7 linked regions of the Kluyveromyces lactis genome follow. The protein of the gene in region 1 purifies or fractionates together with the protein of each later gene. This does not show direct contact. Links are inferred from orthologs where the notes say so. Each region holds a gene or a part of one and is shown in the gene's direction. Other genes may lie near its edges. The genes, in order: COX4, QCR8, RCF2, COX9, COX12, COR1 and MGE1.

Evidence for each region.
Region 2: the proteins of COX4 (region 1) and QCR8 purify together in Saccharomyces cerevisiae (affinity purification with mass spectrometry; 5 studies listed by BioGRID, with this or other methods). This does not show direct contact. The link is inferred for Kluyveromyces lactis from reciprocal best matches to the Saccharomyces cerevisiae genes COX4 and QCR8.
Region 3: the proteins of COX4 (region 1) and RCF2 purify together in Saccharomyces cerevisiae (affinity purification with mass spectrometry; 5 studies listed by BioGRID, with this or other methods). This does not show direct contact. The link is inferred for Kluyveromyces lactis from reciprocal best matches to the Saccharomyces cerevisiae genes COX4 and RCF2.
Region 4: the proteins of COX4 (region 1) and COX9 purify together in Saccharomyces cerevisiae (affinity purification with mass spectrometry; 4 studies listed by BioGRID, with this or other methods). This does not show direct contact. The link is inferred for Kluyveromyces lactis from reciprocal best matches to the Saccharomyces cerevisiae genes COX4 and COX9.
Region 5: the proteins of COX4 (region 1) and COX12 purify together in Saccharomyces cerevisiae (affinity purification with mass spectrometry, with the first as the bait; 3 studies listed by BioGRID). This does not show direct contact. The link is inferred for Kluyveromyces lactis from reciprocal best matches to the Saccharomyces cerevisiae genes COX4 and COX12.
Region 6: the proteins of COX4 (region 1) and COR1 purify together in Saccharomyces cerevisiae (affinity purification with western blotting; 9 studies listed by BioGRID, with this or other methods). This does not show direct contact. The link is inferred for Kluyveromyces lactis from reciprocal best matches to the Saccharomyces cerevisiae genes COX4 and COR1.
Region 7: the proteins of COX4 (region 1) and MGE1 purify together in Saccharomyces cerevisiae (affinity purification with western blotting; 3 studies listed by BioGRID, with this or other methods). This does not show direct contact. The link is inferred for Kluyveromyces lactis from reciprocal best matches to the Saccharomyces cerevisiae genes COX4 and MGE1.

Annotation. Positions count from the first base shown.
Region 1 is NC_006040.1:437,374-439,617, forward strand, and holds COX4 (cytochrome c oxidase subunit IV), read left to right. Parts: upstream 1-1,279; coding exon 1,280-1,744; downstream 1,745-2,244. Other genes in the region: TPN1 (Tpn1p), read left to right, coding at 1-533. UniProt on the Saccharomyces cerevisiae protein: Component of the cytochrome c oxidase, the last enzyme in the mitochondrial electron transport chain which drives oxidative phosphorylation.
Region 2 is NC_006037.1:609,774-611,839, forward strand, and holds QCR8 (ubiquinol--cytochrome-c reductase subunit 8), read left to right. Parts: upstream 1-1,281; coding exon 1,282-1,566; downstream 1,567-2,066. Other genes in the region: ERG20 (bifunctional (2E,6E)-farnesyl diphosphate synthase/dimethylallyltranstransferase), read left to right, coding at 1-986. UniProt on the Saccharomyces cerevisiae protein: Component of the ubiquinol-cytochrome c oxidoreductase, a multisubunit transmembrane complex that is part of the mitochondrial electron transport chain which drives oxidative phosphorylation.
Region 3 is NC_006042.1:573,921-576,314, reverse strand, and holds RCF2 (Rcf2p), read left to right. Parts: upstream 1-1,228; coding exon 1,229-1,894; downstream 1,895-2,394. UniProt on the Saccharomyces cerevisiae protein: Assembly factor that plays a role in the assembly of the respiratory chain supercomplexes (SCs) composed of ubiquinol-cytochrome c oxidoreductase (cytochrome b-c1 complex, complex III, CIII) and cytochrome c oxidase (complex IV, CIV).
Region 4 is NC_006038.1:298,877-300,925, reverse strand, and holds COX9 (cytochrome c oxidase subunit VIIa), read left to right. Parts: upstream 1-1,366; coding exon 1,367-1,549; downstream 1,550-2,049. Other genes in the region: COX8 (cytochrome c oxidase subunit VIII), read right to left, coding at 115-336. UniProt on the Saccharomyces cerevisiae protein: Component of the cytochrome c oxidase, the last enzyme in the mitochondrial electron transport chain which drives oxidative phosphorylation.
Region 5 is NC_006042.1:1,581,470-1,583,598, forward strand, and holds COX12 (cytochrome c oxidase subunit VIb), read left to right. Parts: upstream 1-1,380; coding exon 1,381-1,629; downstream 1,630-2,129. Other genes in the region: RIC1 (Ric1p), read left to right, coding at 1-642. UniProt on the Saccharomyces cerevisiae protein: Component of the cytochrome c oxidase, the last enzyme in the mitochondrial electron transport chain which drives oxidative phosphorylation.
Region 6 is NC_006041.1:507,736-510,995, forward strand, and holds COR1 (ubiquinol--cytochrome-c reductase subunit COR1), read left to right. Parts: upstream 1-1,422; coding exon 1,423-2,760; downstream 2,761-3,260. UniProt on the Saccharomyces cerevisiae protein: Component of the ubiquinol-cytochrome c oxidoreductase, a multisubunit transmembrane complex that is part of the mitochondrial electron transport chain which drives oxidative phosphorylation.
Region 7 is NC_006040.1:623,676-626,338, forward strand, and holds MGE1 (mitochondrial nucleotide exchange factor MGE1), read left to right. Parts: upstream 1-1,431; coding exon 1,432-2,163; downstream 2,164-2,663. Other genes in the region: mitogen-activated protein kinase kinase MKK1, read left to right, coding at 1-1,074. UniProt on the Saccharomyces cerevisiae protein: Essential component of the PAM complex, a complex required for the translocation of transit peptide-containing proteins from the inner membrane into the mitochondrial matrix in an ATP-dependent manner.

The DNA of each region.
Region 1 (2,244 bases):
CCATCCAATTATCAAGTGTGATGTTAGCCAAGGTGCCTCGTTGGATCTGGGCTATCGGATGTACCATCTTTTACCTCGTATGTGCGCTAGTAGGTAGAAACAGTTTTTCCACCATCTTGGGAAATTTCCTACCTATGATTGGTTACTGGATTAGCATGTACTTCATCTTACTCGTGGAAGAGAACGTCATCTTTAGAAACTGGTTCCACCATCTATATAAATTGGAATTCCCCAATGACATAGAAGTGAAACCACATCATAAACTAAGGAAATTACCAAGGCACATCCACAGGTACAACTGGGATGAATGGGACAACTCTGAAGTCATCACAAGAGGATTGGCTGCATCCGCTGCGTTCTGCATCGGTGTTGCTGGTGTGGTACTTGGAATGTGTCAAACGTATTACGTGGGGCCACTTGCCGCAAAGATTGGCGAGTATGGCGGAGATTTAGGTATGTGGCTCGGTATGGGTTTCGCAGGAGTATCATATCCACCACTAAGGTACTGCGAACTGAAGAAATTTGGCAGGTGAACCATTTTCCCCATTATCTGACATTATACACATATAATAGAAACACACATATATGTACACACATATATGTATATAACCTGTCACGCGACGCGCGCCAGATCAAATGAATAATCTCTTTAATATTAATGGCATGGCATTGCCTATATAAATCACATGACCTCTAGCCAACCATATCGCAGAATTCTCACTCAATTGACAACACCCACACTAGATCCTACTCTCGCCGGAAACAAAATAGAAACAAATACGAAAGACTACTCCAGCTAAAAAATGTGTACATCACTATGTACGAGTAGACACCTTTTTTGTATCTTTCCTTCTTCTCCCTGCTCCAATCATACTGGGAAACATGATGTGATTTTTGTACGTTTTTTGTTATAAGCGATAATTTTCATTTCTTGATTTTCGCAGGATATTGGAACCGAATGTATATATATGAATAATATTTTCAACAGTGATTTCAGAGTTTTAGAAAGTAGCTAAAGACGTTTTATCAAGTTTGTTCAAGAGAGTCATACGTTTGTTTCAGAGGGTTTTCTTTCGCCGATTACTTTCATTTGCGAATATATTCAACTGATCACCTTATCTGTCTCAGCTAGCTTACAGTATCCAAGTGGTTCTTTTTGTCATATATTGCTAATTGATTAGTTCATTACAATTCAAATATACCTTTGTTCCATCGTTTTAGATTCACACATCGGAGTATCTAAGTTATCACCTATCAATCCAATCACAAAGAAGAAATAATGTTGTCTCTACGTCAATCCCTATCGAAGTTGTTCGGCCCAGCATCCAGAGCTTTTGCTACCACCAAGGTTGCAGGTGATCAACAAGTTGTTAAGACTGCTACCAAGTTGGCTGAAGTTAACGGTGCTGACACTTTGATTGGTCCTGGTGCCAAAGACGGTGAAGTTCCAACCGAATTGGACCAAGCCACTGGTTTAGCCAGATTGGAATTGTTGGGTAAATTGGAAGGTATCGAAGTTTTCGACACCAAGCCATTGGACTCTTCCAGAATCGGTACCATGGAAAACCCAATCATTGTTGAATCCTACGATGACTACCGTTATGTCGGTGCCACTGGTTCCCCAGCTGGTTCTCACAACGTCATGTGGTTGAAGCCAACCGACGGTCAAGTCGCCAGATGTTGGGAAACCGGTTGTGTATACAAGCTTAAGATGGTCGGTGTTCCTCAAGAAGGTCACCATTAAGCATTTTAATCCTTCCTTCCATATCATTCCCACTTATCCTGGTAAAAAAAGGATTAACAACCAGTGTACCACTATATCATTCTAAAAATTCCAATACAAATGTCAAATACACAAACCTATTCTAAAATATTACAAAATAATAAATTACACAAGCTGAAGCAACAAATTACACAAAAAGTTTAGTGGGGACATATACTTGAACTGGTCCTGCACATAATCAAGATTTGTTTATATGTTTGGAAAGCGGGGAACAGGCCAGATCTATTGAATTTTAAAAGAATGATTGATTCATATTTTATACCAATTGCCTCTATTTCTTTCCCCCCCCGGATCGTTTAAACCAATTAAAGACTTATGTTACACATTGTTTCTCTACATACTACATTTCACAGGTAAGAACTCATTATTTAAATTAAGTACGATTTTATCAATAAAATTTCAAAAAAAAAAGTCTTTGTTTCAAGGTGACACCGAGGGTCAGTATGACAATTACCGATACA
Region 2 (2,066 bases), on another chromosome or scaffold:
TCTTGGCCGGGTACGGTATGCCCGAAGAAGCCATCGAATGGTACGAAAAATCATTGAACTACAACACCCCAGGTGGTAAGTTGAACCGTGGTCTTTCTGTCGTTGACACATACGCGCTTTTGAAAGGTTACAAGTCAGTGAGCGAACTATCTGCAGAAGAGTACAAGAAGGTTGCCATCCTTGGTTGGTGTATTGAACTGTTGCAAGCGTACTTCTTGGTTGCTGATGACATGATGGACCAATCGATCACAAGAAGAGGACAACCATGTTGGTACAAAGTGGAAAACGTCGGCGACATTGCGATCAACGATGCATTCATGTTGGAAGGTGCCATCTACTGTCTGTTGAAGAAACACTTCAGAACAGAGCCATACTACGTCGATCTATTGGAATTGTTCCATGACGTTACTTTTCAAACCGAATTGGGTCAGTTGTTGGATTTGATCACTGCACCAGAGGACAAAGTCGACTTATCCAAGTTCTCTTTGGAAAAGCATTCCTTCATCGTTATCTTCAAGACTGCATACTACTCTTTCTACTTAGCAGTGGCACTGGCCATGTTTGCTGCCGGTATTACCGACTCAAAGGACTTGAAACAGGCCAGCGACGTATTGATCCCATTGGGAGAATATTTCCAAATCCAAGACGATTTCTTGGATTGTTTCGGTAAACCAGAAGATATCGGTAAGATTGGTACCGATATCCAAGACAACAAATGTTCTTGGGTCATCAACGTTGCATTGAAGAATGCTACAAAAGAACAAAGAGATATCTTGGACGAAAACTACGGTAGAAAGGATTCTGAAAAGGAACAAAAATGTAGAGCTGTATTCAACGAATTGAACATCCAAGACATCTACCACAAGTACGAAGAAGAAACCGCTTCCAACTTAAGAGAGAAAATCGCTAACATCGACGAATCCCGTGGGTTCAAGGCCGAAGTTCTAACCTTGTTCTTGAACAAAATATACCACAGAAAGAAGTAGGTAAAGCATATATTATCTAACCATTTTAGATCACGTGCAACTAAATAAATAAAAGTAAGTTTCACTACCAGTATCACTGTATACGAACCAATAATACTACGTTTCGGCCTTTTCGCTTCTAAAAGACGAAGTCTTGAAAATCTTCCAGCGAGGGAAAAAGCTTTATATATAAGAAATAAGCTTTAAACCTCTACTTATTCAGATATTCAAATGATGCAAAGATGGAAAACTATTATACATAGTTTAGTCTCTGACTCAGTATCCGCAAGACCAAGAATTAAAATATTAAGACGAAATGGGTGGTCCACATGCTAAGGCTTACATGGGCTGGTGGGGTAGTATAGGTTCCCCAGCCCAAAAGGGTATTACTACATACACTGTTTCTCCATATGCTCAAAAGCCATTGAACAACATCTTCCACAACGCTGTTTTTAACACATTTAGAAGAGTTAAGAGCCAAATTTTGTACATGGCTCTTCCAGCTGCTTTGTACTGGGCTTGGTGGGTCAACTGCAGAGACTACAACGCTTACTTGTACACTAAGGCCGGTAGAGAAGAATTAGAAAGAGTTAACGTTTAAACAATGTTATTACAACACTAGACTAGTTCCTTTCTTTCTTCTGTCCAGGTTTAAAAGCTTACATGGAAAAAGAGGTGCGGCAGCACCCTTTTGACACTTTTATCAACATTCAAGATATATTTCTCACGTCACAAGAACATTTTTTATCATGTCAGGCCATCGAAAAGAGTTTCAGTATTATTAGATACTATTGAAAAGGAGAGAGCGAGTGGAAGTTCACATCCTCGGTTTTTAATTCTCTCTTTTCGGGTTTGGCTCAGTACCGTATTTATTGGAGGTTTTCATCAAGTGGTTACTCCCCTCAAATATATCTTCTATACTTCACTGTTTATACGAATTTGAAAAACTACTTTATTATGAATACTTACATCTGCGTGTCAAGGGCGTGATCGTCGTGCTCATATGTCGACGATCGGTGTGCTTGCCTGTTTTACATGTATATATATATATAGATGGATAAGTTTCTCCACTAATGAAAGTCACGTGACGTTATTACTTTC
Region 3 (2,394 bases), on another chromosome or scaffold:
CAATAGTCTAATATGCGTTCATTTTACAAGTATTTCAGTAGAGACTCAAGCTAGTATACATATCGGTTACGTCAAAACAGAGTGATGTACAAAACTCTGCTGGCCATATTCAAAGCAAAGGCTTTCCACATATTAAGCTCTTTTTCTTAAGAGTAGAAACCTGAAAAATAGTATTTCGGCGATTTCTCAAAATGGTAATCACTCTCCCTTGTATTAAAAGGTCAGGCTAATGAACGCAACACTGCACTAATTGCAATGGATATTATCCGAACGATCCGATGCCTTAGGTCCAAAACTGAAGCTTTTCGAAGATCCTGTAACTCTATTGGATGAATCTGGTAGGTTCCAGCTGTTAGGGTTAGTCGATGCATATTCTCTGCTCTTCCTTTTTTTTTAAACATGTGTGACTGACCAATCATATCACAGGAAACTTTGTGTCAAGGAAATGTGGAGCCACAACCGTGGCAAATTCCGACCGGCTTCTTCTCAGGTAACAACTACTAAAACCACTATCTCCGTATGCACGCGCAAATCCTTCTGAGTAGGACAGTTCGTTCGGCTGGTCCCACTTAGGTATTAGCTTCGCTAAAGTATGGATTGATTTTGAACATCAGTGTAATGAACATAGTCACTTTCTAATTGACGGAGTTATTTTCAGACAAAAACTTGTCTGACCTTTGGAAGAAATTTCAATCGAATGGTTCATTGATACGTTGATAGCAATGAACAGGTTACGCTGAGCCTGTTCATGGGCTGGCAACAAGAACGAGAGATATAGGGTTTGGCTAACTGCCAAAATTACGTAACATCAGTAGCAGTGCCTCATGGACAATCATAAATCCTAAATCGTATACGATATTGCAGGAAAAAGAAATAAAGGAACAAAGAATATTTATCATACGGGAAGGAAAAAAGTAAAAAAGTAAAATCGAACCAAAATTAAAGTATAATTGGAACAAAGGCAGGGAGGGAATTTAAAAGTATCGTATATAAGGAAGAGCATTCTCTCGGTTTATTCGTTTACAGAATCATTTCAAATTATATATATATATATCGTTTGACAGTTAAAATTTGTTAATGCTTATCCTCTTGGCTAAAATAAATATCGGGATATATTAGGATTTTGTTCCAGTATTAATTCGATATTTATCACCTTATTTAAACTAAGGGAATCAAAAGTTAGCTTAAGAGATAAGTAACTGAAAGACGAAAAAACCAGCACAGCAAGATGAAGATTTTAACAAGAGAAGAAATTGATGCTCATCGTCACTACACCCTGATGGGTGGTGTTAAAGGTGCAGCTGCAGGTCTGTTAATTTCTGCAGCTATGTTCAGGTTTTTACCCCATCGTTATCCTAAATTCAATCCAAAGGCTATGACATGGTCTGTCAAGACTGCTTTATTCATCACGCCTCCAACTCTTTTGGCTTCTATTGTCGCTGAAGAATCTTCTAACAGTTTTGATAAGAAAATGTATGGTGACTCTTCGTCCAGTGATATTCTTGCTGAACATAACAGATGGAAGAACCTGCCTATGAGCGAAAAATTGGTCGAAGGTTTGTCCAACAATAAGTACAAGATCATTGTTGGTGCATGGGCTGCTTCCTTGTATGGATCCTGGAAATTGGTTGATAGGGACTTATACATGACCAAAGCCCAAAAGGCTGTGCAGGCAAGAATGTATGCTCAAGGTATAACTGTGATTTTGTTACTAGCCTCAATTGGTTTATCTATGTACGAGGAAAAGCTACATCCAGATCAAAAGAAGGAGGCTAGAGACCGTCGTTGGCAAGCGGCTTTGGAGCATGCTGAGAAGGAAGAAGAGATGGCTGCAACCGCTGGTTACAGAAGTAACGAAGACAGAGTTAAGGCCAAGATTTTTAAATATGATTGAATTTTTGAAGAATTCAATCTAGCTGAGGTGAAATACGATATTGCCTTCACACTACAAGGCGTACAATTCTATTTTCACCCTCATCACATCCTTCTTGTGAATAATTTTGACCCATATACTATTAACTGTTTTTTTTTTACAGCACTGCCTTGTACGAAATGAAATGAAGCAGATCTAACGTACCAAATCTACCTTTCATGGTGAGTTATTTTGTCTCACATTATTCTATGTCATGACAAGTTAATAAAAGAAGATCTATTTTTTATCATTGATTATTGTAACAGTTTCATTGCATCGTGGCGCAACCATCCACGAGATCAAAAATGCGGGCGTGCTGCCTTACCTGTTATGGTTGTTTTTTAATGTCAGCTTATTTCAATTTTTTTTCAATAGAGACGGCTGGTACGGCTTTCATAACATTATACCACTACTTTTTTGAACCAATCAAGAACCTTCATAAATTATCAAAAATGCGGACCAAAATTGCTTGTAATCTTTTC
Region 4 (2,049 bases), on another chromosome or scaffold:
ACATTTGCAGATGGATGGAATGTGTAGCAATGATGACATGAAAATAAAACGAAAATTATTGTGAAAGGATACGATATAACAAAGAGGGCAGGAAATTTATTTCTATCCACTCATTTAGAAAGCACCAAACTTCTTCAATTGCACGTAAGAAGAGATGAATGGAACAGCAAAACCTAGAGCAAAGAAACCGAAGTGGATGAAAGCGTATGGGATCTTTCTGTTGTGAATCTTAACTGGGATGTTCGAGTAAACACCTTCCTTGAAGTGGGCACCACATTGCTTGGAAGTGGCAGAGAAGGCTCTTCTGGTGGCTAGTCTGGTAACTTGGGAAAACATGTTTTGATTGGAATATTTGCTGTGGTATTGGACGCTAGGTTATCGAAACAAAGTTATTAATATCAACAATAAACTATAAACCATCCTTAACAAGAGTTGTAAATTGCAGTGCTAATTGTATTGAAATATGAAAAAAAAAATAATACGATATATTTTTTTTACCTTTCTATCGCTGCTAAGAAGAGAAACAGGATTAGGAAAAAGTCGTGCAATAACAAAAAAAATTGACAGAAGTGGGAAAACGGCTCAGAAAGTAGTGAGACACAAACGGAGTATCCGGGTAATGGTGTAAGATTTCCGACTTTCACTCTTAAAGCAAAGCTCTGCTGTGTCTTCGTGGAACGTGATTTCCCCGTGTACATATTTTTCTGAATACAGACACACTCACGTCGAATCCTGGGATATCATTGGCTAATGGGAATTTCGGTTTTAACGCGAGATCCTTTCTTGTCTACTTGTACTAACTACACTAAGATGATAAGAGGCACATGACCTGCGATCAATGGCTGCCCCAGAGTTTCTCTGACGGGAAATCTTCCCTCTTTGCCAATCCGGTGCTGTCAGTATTAGAGGAAGAAAAGCGATACCTCTCTCTTGGCTATATTGATGGGCAACCGATAGTAGGTTCTACCGGAACCTACTGAGAGTCTCAATCAGATATTGTCTTGAAAATCCACACTACAGTATGACTCGGTATTACTGGAGTTCTGAATGTCAATTCCCTCTTGGTGACAGCTTGAAAAATCGAGAAACTTTAAAAATTAAAAAAAATTGAAATAAACTTACCTGGCTCTACTATCCATTACAGGTTTTGGTTAATTTTTTTTCTAACTGTCTTCGGTTCTTTACTTTAGTCGTATGGTTTTTCTGATTTTCTTTTACTTCTTGAAATTTTGATATTTGATTAGTACTTTGTATATCTTTCCTCTGTCCCCTCTTAGTGTTGACTTTAGCCTTTTTCATTAGCTGTTGCTATCCTTAACGGTTTGTTCATCTCACATCAATCACTCTCACTTCACATCAAAGAATAATGTCTGCAATTGCTCCAATCACTGGTACTATTAGAAAGAGAATCTTGGCCGATATCACCATCGGTTTCGCTATTGGTGGTGCTATGGCTTCCTATTGGTGGTGGGGTTTCCACAAGAACATCATCAACAAGAGAGAAGCTTACTACGCTAAGTTGGCTGAACAAAAGGCTGCTGAAAACTAAGGACTGAATAAAAAAACGCAATACTTTGTGTTTTTCTATCTAAATCAACATATTCGTGTGCGGCCATGAGGTTTGAAACCTCTGTGTCCATAATACGGAGAATTGTATTCGATCCTTTTTTTCCTCCCAATTACCTATCGTTACTATAACATCCCACAACCTTTTATTTCTCTATTTATGTCAACACATACACAGATTAACAGTCATTCTGATGAATTATTGGTTAAAAATCATTAATGGTATTTTTTTTTATTCGGTACCCTTTTATCATGCTAATACGTTCTCATATTATGACTTCTTCTCCTATCAGTATTATTATTCATGAGTGGAAGCAATACCGCATCTCGACTGTTTGTTTTTTCTTGGAGGAGTTACTAAACAAAGACTTAAGGATTTCATGTGACCTTTTGTCGATTTCCAAAGAAGGTGATTGTCTCTGTTAAACAATCTTATTTTGCAAATAGGAATACTCTCTGGTTTGTTACCTTATCGCTGGAAGT
Region 5 (2,129 bases), on another chromosome or scaffold:
GAAAAAATTCTATCCAGTAAAGTATTGGAACATGAGGACTTGAACTCCATATTATCATTAATCGATACCTATGATAAAAATTCAGGCGGGATTAAGAATGAAGTTGGTAAACTTGAAATCGTAGGGAATTGTTTAAGAAAGATCGAAACAAAACATTGGGACTACTTATTTGAGAATCTAAAACTAACTCCAAGAGATCTTATCACCAAGTGCATTGCTCTATCTGAAGCGAAGATCTTGGGTACGCTTTTGATGGTATTCTTAAACTATGACGAGGGCGATAGTGAATCTAAACAGGAAGAGGTCACGACAAAGTCCACAAAACGAAAGAACAAGAACAACAAGAACAAGAACAACAAAAACAAGAACAAGAACAAGAACAAGGAAAAGAGCCATACAAACGGACTCAAGGAATCTGATAGTAGAGAGACTTCTCCAGATACTAGTGTATCCACCATCCTAAAAGACGAAACAGTCATAGGTCAAGTCCTCAAGATATTCGTATCCACTGCCACTCTTTCAACTACAAAAGAGCAAGCACAAGAGTATTGGGATTTCGCTCTACAACTAATTCGATTCTTAAGAGCACTAGACAGTAAGGGAAATACTACACTAGCACAGACTTGTCTGGACATGATCTAATTAATACTGGGAAATACCTTTTTTCTAACCGCACTTGTCACGTGATACTCGGCCAATCACAAGGACTGCATCGTCAAAGACGATTACATTCAAACCCCATATAAAATATGTATGCTCACACTATTCAAATCAAACATCTCGTGCCATAATAAGAAGATGATGCGTTTTCTTGCTGAATGGAAAAGTGTTACCATCATATACTGCGATTTTTTCGCAATTAACCAGGTATTTTACAGTTACGCTTTTAATTGAACGAAGCATATGTACTCCTTTCTCTGGTACTACACAGCTGTATACTAGGGTAGATGTAATATTCAATTGACCCCTTTTACGCTGGATATATACTAGTAATATTACTATTAAAGTCTATGTCTGCGGAGTATCTGTTTGTGCTACCTCTTCTTAATGTTACGATATTTCATCTTTTTTTTTTTTTTCATTCCTAATGAAATTTTCGAATGATATTTTCATAGTTTTTCTTGAAGCCGAAAAAAAGATTTTGATTATTCTAACTTTCTATTTAGTTTAACTGATTAGTTTTTAGAATTAAAATAAAGAAGTTTAAGAACTATTCTTTTCAATTCTTGTTGTTATTTTTGTTTTGAGTTTTAGTTTTAGATTAGTTTGAGATTTGTTTGTTCATTCTTATTCAAAGATATTTTAGTTTTGTATTGATTTTGTTCAGGTTAATTAAGATCACTCTTTGTTCAAACATCATCACCGATAAACCCTATTACAATGGCTGAAAATCAAGAATCTCCATTACACACCGTTGGTTTCGACGCTAGATTCCCAAACCAAAACCAAACAAAGCACTGCTGGCAATCGTACGTGGATTACCACAAGTGTATCAATGCTAAGGGTGAAGACTTCGCTCCATGCAAGGTTTTCTGGAAGACCTACTCCTCTCTATGTCCAGTTGACTGGGTTGAAAAGTGGGATGAACAAAGATCCCAGGGTATCTTTGCTGGTGACATTAACCCATAAACTGGTTGGAAATATGTGATATAATGCGATGAAAAAAGAGGCAGTTAATTAGTGAAGAACTAGTTTAGGAAAACTAAAAACAAAAAAAGATGATATTCATTTGGAGCAAGATGTGACAACAGATACTGAAATTATCTGTTATGATTCGTACTTAACGTATCTTCCTCTTTTATTATTTTCATTCACTTTCCTCGAACAATGGCTTCACTGTTTTCTGTCCCATCGATTTTTCATTCATTTTCTTTTTAAAACAATATATTTATTATCCCATTCACATCCGTCCTCCGTTTCCCCTTTCGATGTTATTGTCACTTTGTAACGTTTTCCACTCAATATAAGTTTCAGCGTCTTGGATCATCATTCCAGACCTTAGTGTGGAAATTAAGTAACATTGATGGAGATCCGGAAATCCCAGTACAAGTTTCACTTTTATTAAAACAATACTCTCATAAAAAAAATTTACAAAGAAAGATCAATTTAGAACACAGTTTAAACTTTGT
Region 6 (3,260 bases), on another chromosome or scaffold:
TTCCATGTAATAAAATAGATCCCGCGGAGCTATTTTACCACGGCTGTTAACCCAAGAATCCATGTCAAAAGAAAACTGAAATAATACGGGAGGCATTCTTTCAAAACTGGCGGCAAGAACAACAACCGTTCCGGACGGGGATTACATGGGAGTTAAGATATTTGGATCCTGATGGACCGACCATTTTTCAGCGCATTTTGCTTTGCGGGAATAAGCTCCCTTCTAAATTTCTTAGAAACCTTGCTTGAAGAAGTCGTAAATACATGCAGGGATAGTTGGCGAATGAAATGATGATTTTATTTCCGAAGAGTAAATCCGAATGGATATTCGTTGCGGTGTTTTCAAGGCGAGAATCGAACACTTACACTGTACGCACAAACCACCAGCAAGCAAGCAAGTAATCAAAAAAAAAAAAAGTACTCATTTGGACTTTGGTACTTACCCGAATCTTTCTATTGTGCGGGTAAGTGTAATTTTATTCACGTGAGTCGAATTTCAATCTCGGTATTTGATCATCTTTGACGAACCAATGGAAATCCAGTTCGGGCATCGTATTTCACGGTTCATTTTTCATTCAAAGTTTACCGCTTACCATAGGAAATCGAGCATTTCCACTGTTTATTATGGGAAAAGAAATGCTGGTACCGATACTTCCGTAACTGCGAGATGAGCGAGAAAGAGGGATATGCAATCCCAAAAATGTCGATTTGATTGGAAATGTTCGAGCAGATGGAATTAGCAGTTTTGGGGCTAAATTCTCGTCCCGAAAAGTACTCGCTACTATGTAAATTTTTGTTTTTCGGACCAGTTTCTCGGCCAGAAACGATTTTAATAATTGTTCAAAGGGGGTCCCCTATTAATTATGTGGACAGGTCGTTGTCCAATGAAAGAAAATCTCTATGCTACAGAGAAGACAAAGAAGAAGAGGTAAAAAAAAAAAATTATGGAAATATCGAAAAACTAGACAGCGCTCTCAGTATCAACATTTTTCACTTTTTTCATATAGTGTAACCTTCCAAAATTAAAAAAAAATTAAAAGTAGTTAGATAAATCATTGATATTTGTTTAATGAAAGTACACTAACTTTATTTAGACCTGTTTATAGTTTTCTACTCTTGTATATTGCTTCAGTCAAGTGTGCACAATTTTAAGGAAATTGAGAATTCAGTTAGGCTAAAAACTATCCAAACTTTGCTTTATATTTTTTTCAGTGAAATACCACTATACTGTTTTTTGAATCGATAGTATACCAACAGAAAGGTTTCCAAGGAAAAAAGTAAACGAGAATTATAACTTCGAAGGTATTACATTTGGGAGCTCATTGACTTGTTTTTGATCCCGTATTCTATTTATTTTGCACGTACAAATTCAACACACTATATTGATTAAACGGATTATAACCAATTATTTGCCATAAGAAAGATGTTGAGAACCGCTACTAGATCTTCAATCTTGAAGAGAACCATTGCCACTCAAATTACCCCAAAAGCCATCGTCACCGAACTATCTAACGGTGTTGTTGTTGCTACTGAACCAAACAGCAACTCTGCCACTGCTGCGGTCGGTTTGGTGTTCGGTTCCGGTACTACTGCCGAAAACCCATACAACAACGGTGTTTCCAACTTGTTGGCTAACTCCTTTGTCAACTCTTCTATCAAGGATGCTCAAAAATTGGGATTCTCCTTAGAAACCAAGGTTGGCAGAGACCACCAATCTTACATTGTTAACTCTCAACCAGGTCAATATGCTAAGGCTCTAGAATTCTTGCAATCCAAGCTTTTCGCTCCAATTGAGGACTCCGTCTTCGAAAGTTCCAAGAGAGCTACTGTAGACACTGTTGCCAAGTTCGAAGAAACTGAACACGAACAACGTGTTTTCGAACACTTGCACGCCACTGCTTTCCAAAACACTCCATTGTCTTTGCCAGTCAGAGGTACTGTCGAAACTCTAGAAGGTTTGGAAAACATCGACTTGTCCAACTTCGTTCAAAACCAATTCAAGGCAAACAACTCTGTTATTGTTGGTACCGGTAACGTTAACCACGATGAATTGGTCAAGGCTGTTGAAACTAAGCTTTCTTTGCTATCTGGTGACAAACCAGTGCCAAAGAAGAAGTCCACTTTCTTGGGTTCTGAAGTCAGACTAAGAGATGATACTCTACCAAAGGCTTGGGTATCTATCGCTGCTGAAGGTGAACCTATCAATTCTCCACAATACTATGTTGCTCAAGTCGCTGCTGAAGTCTTCGGTACTTTCGTTGCTGCTGAACCAGCTTCCAACCTACAAGGTGTTAAGTTGATCGACGAAGTTAACGAATACCACTTGTGTGACTCTTTCGAACACTTCTCTGTCTCTTATAAGGACTCCGGTTTGTGGGGTTTCAGAACCACCATCACCGACCCACACAACATCGATGAAACTGTCCATTTCACTTTGAAGCAATGGAACAGATTGTCCATCTCTGTCACCGAAACTGAAGTCGCTCGTGCTAAGTCTTTGTTAAAGTTGAAGTTGGCTTCTCAAGTTTCTACCAACGCTGCTGCTGCTAACTTGTTGGGTGCTCAAACCTTGGTTTTGGGTGCTAAGCCAGCCTTGGCTGAAGTCTTCACTAAGATTGACAAAATTACCTCCAAGGATATTAAGGCTTGGGCTTCCGAAAGATTATGGGATCAAGATATCGCTGTTGCCGGTACTGGTAAGATTGAAGACTTGTTGGACTACGTCAGAATGAGAAACGACATGAGTATGATGAGATGGTAATCAAACTAAAAGCCGAGTCTTAAGATATTTTAACAATTCTTTTTATATTATATTCTCATTTCACGACGGTCATTCTAAAAACAATTCTCTCTTTTCTACTCGACTGAGTAGAATTACTCCCTGTAACATTTACTTTTGAGTTGTTATAACCATATCACTCGATGAGTAATAAGTTACAGTTTAATTTCATGTGTGTATATTCCCCCAAAAAAAGAAATTTGTCACGATCGATTTATATCAATATTTTACTGTTTTGGACTAAAGTCTAGGGTGTTTACTGGCGCATTCGATTTTTCGCTCTGTCACAGCTCCTCAAGATCAATACATTTAATGAACATAATGTATTTTTTAATTCCAAATGATATTTGAAAATTTAGGCTAAATCGAAATAAATCAAAATCTCGCTCATTATTCGTCGAAACAAAAATATGAGTTCAATGTCCTTATTTATGATACTGTCATTTACTGGTGAGCAATTGAATACATTTTAACCATCAAGA
Region 7 (2,663 bases), about 190 kb from region 1:
CTGCCAACGTCTGGATCACAGCAGTCAACCCAAAGTGCAGATTCGATGACTTCCAATCTAATATCCATGTACGATAGCGAACCAACAACAAGCAGCAGCACAAGCCTGGTAAACCATGGGAAAGAAAGTGAAATTATAGAGCACGATAGAGATGATAGCACAGATGAACTTGAGTCAGATATATGGCAAACTTACAAGATCCATGAACAAATTGATACGTTGGGAATATTGGGCGAAGGAACTGGAGGATCGGTCACGAAATGTAAGTTAAGGAACGGTTCAAAAATATTTGCATTGAAGACCATTGCCACGATAGAGAATGATGGCTCAGAGAAACAAATATTCAGAGAATTGCAATTCAACAAGAGTTGTAAGTCTGATTTCATAGTGAGGTATTACGGGATGTTTGCATGCGAAGAAACCTCGACAATTTTTATTGCGATGGAATATATGGGCGGAAGATCGCTAGATTCGGTGTACAAGCACCTTCTCTCTAAGGGGGGACGAATTGGTGAGAAGGTTCTGGGGAAGATAGCTGAGAGCGTACTTAGAGGACTATTTTATCTACACGAAAGAAAGATCATTCATAGAGATATTAAGCCACAGAACATATTGTTCAACGAAATAGGACAAATAAAGCTCTGCGATTTTGGAGTCAGTGGAGAGGCAGTGAACTCTCTTGCCACCACGTTTACAGGAACATCATACTACATGGCTCCAGAAAGGATACAGGGCCAGCCATACAGTGTTACCAGTGATGTATGGTCTTTGGGTCTCACACTATTGGAAGTTGCACAGGGACACTCACCATTTGATACGGATAAACTAGCAGCAAACATGCCCCCTATAGAACTTTTGATGCTTATCTTGACTTTCACACCTGAATTGAAAGATGAACCAGAACAAGGCATAGTATGGTCCAAATCCTTCAAATCGTTCCTTGATTACAGTCTGAAAAAAGATTCAAAGGATAGACCATCTCCAAGACAAATGCTACAACACCCCTGGATGGTGGGACAAACCAAGAAACACGTTAACATGAAGAAGTTTATTCAAACTTGTTGGGCGGATTGATTGCTAGCCCCTACTGGCCCACTAGATAGAACATGCAGGAACATGTATAGATAAATCATTTCTCAAATGGCTGCATGTCACGTGTTCCACAACATAAATCGGATCAAGTTTCAATTTTTTCATAGAGTTTGGTTTGAATTGAAAAAATGATCATGAAAGAGAGAAAGAACCGTATATAAGAAGACATTTAAGAAGAAAGAATTAGTAAAACAACCCAATACATCTTACATACCAACTGTCACTACCTCTTATTGACACTCAGTTGGATTTGAACTCACTTTGTTTTGCTAAATAACCACTGTTAATAGTGAGACTCAAGTCGACCAGAGAATATTTACTAACAGAATACAATAAAATATGAGACCATCAACCAGATTCTTGAGAAGCGTTACCAGAACTGTTCCAATCGGTTTCAGATCTACTACTGTGCCATTTGTATCTAGCACTTTGAGATCTAGTGCTGCAACCTCCAACCAGTTTTCTGCTAGGTTTTCCGGTGTTAGATTCTATGCTGATGAAGCCAAGAAGGAAGAACCTAAGGATGAGAACGATGCAGCTGCAGCTGAAGAAGACGCAAATTTGACTGAAGAGCAAAAAAAGATTAAAGATTTGGAAACCAAGTTGGATGCCAAGACTAAGGAAGCCTCTGAATTTAAGGACCGTTTGTTGAGATCAGTTGCTGATTTCAGAAATTTGCAAGAAGTTACCAAGAAGGATATCCAAAAGGCCAAGGATTTCGCTTTGCAAAAATTCGCCAAGGACTTGTTGGAATCCGTCGACAACTTTGGCCATGCTTTGAACGCTTTCAAACCAGAAACTCTGGAACAATCTCAAGAGCTTTCTGATCTATATACCGGTGTCAAGATGACCAGGGACGTTTTCGAAAAGACTTTGAAGAAGCACGGTATTGAACAACTAAATCCAATTGGCGAATCTTTTGATCCAAATAAGCACGAAGCTACTTTCGAATTGCCTCAACCAGACAAGGAACCAGGTACCGTTTTCCACGTTCAACAAATTGGTTACACTTTGAACGACAGAGTTATCAGACCAGCTAAGGTCGGTATTGTTAAGGACAATGAAAATTAGAAAATCTCTCAATAAAGAACCCCGAACCCAAAATCGATCTACTTCAAATGACCTTACCATGACTTATAATTTACGATAATGCTTGTTTTATGAACCTTCTAACTTTTTTTCCCCTCCTCACTCCATTTTTCTTTCATTCTGCATGATAACATCGATCAGCTTTTGAACGGAAAACATCTCTTTTTGTTCGCAGCAGGTTTGACTTTTATGTTCCCTCATAACGGTCATAATGGTCTCGCCACAATGACCCTACTTAATTCCCATGTAAATAAACTTGCACATATGTATATGAATTCTCTACCATGATCCAAAATGAAAGGACCTTTCTTTCTCTTATTAAAACGGTCTGTCATCCGTTAAGGTACGTCCGAGAGCATGAACGAAACGCATAAGTAAGAACATCCAACCCCTGCAGGCTCTACATCTTTAGTATACTCTGAACTCAATCTTCCATCAGCCACTCCACCCAAAACGGTATCTATATGAGCCCTCAAATCCTC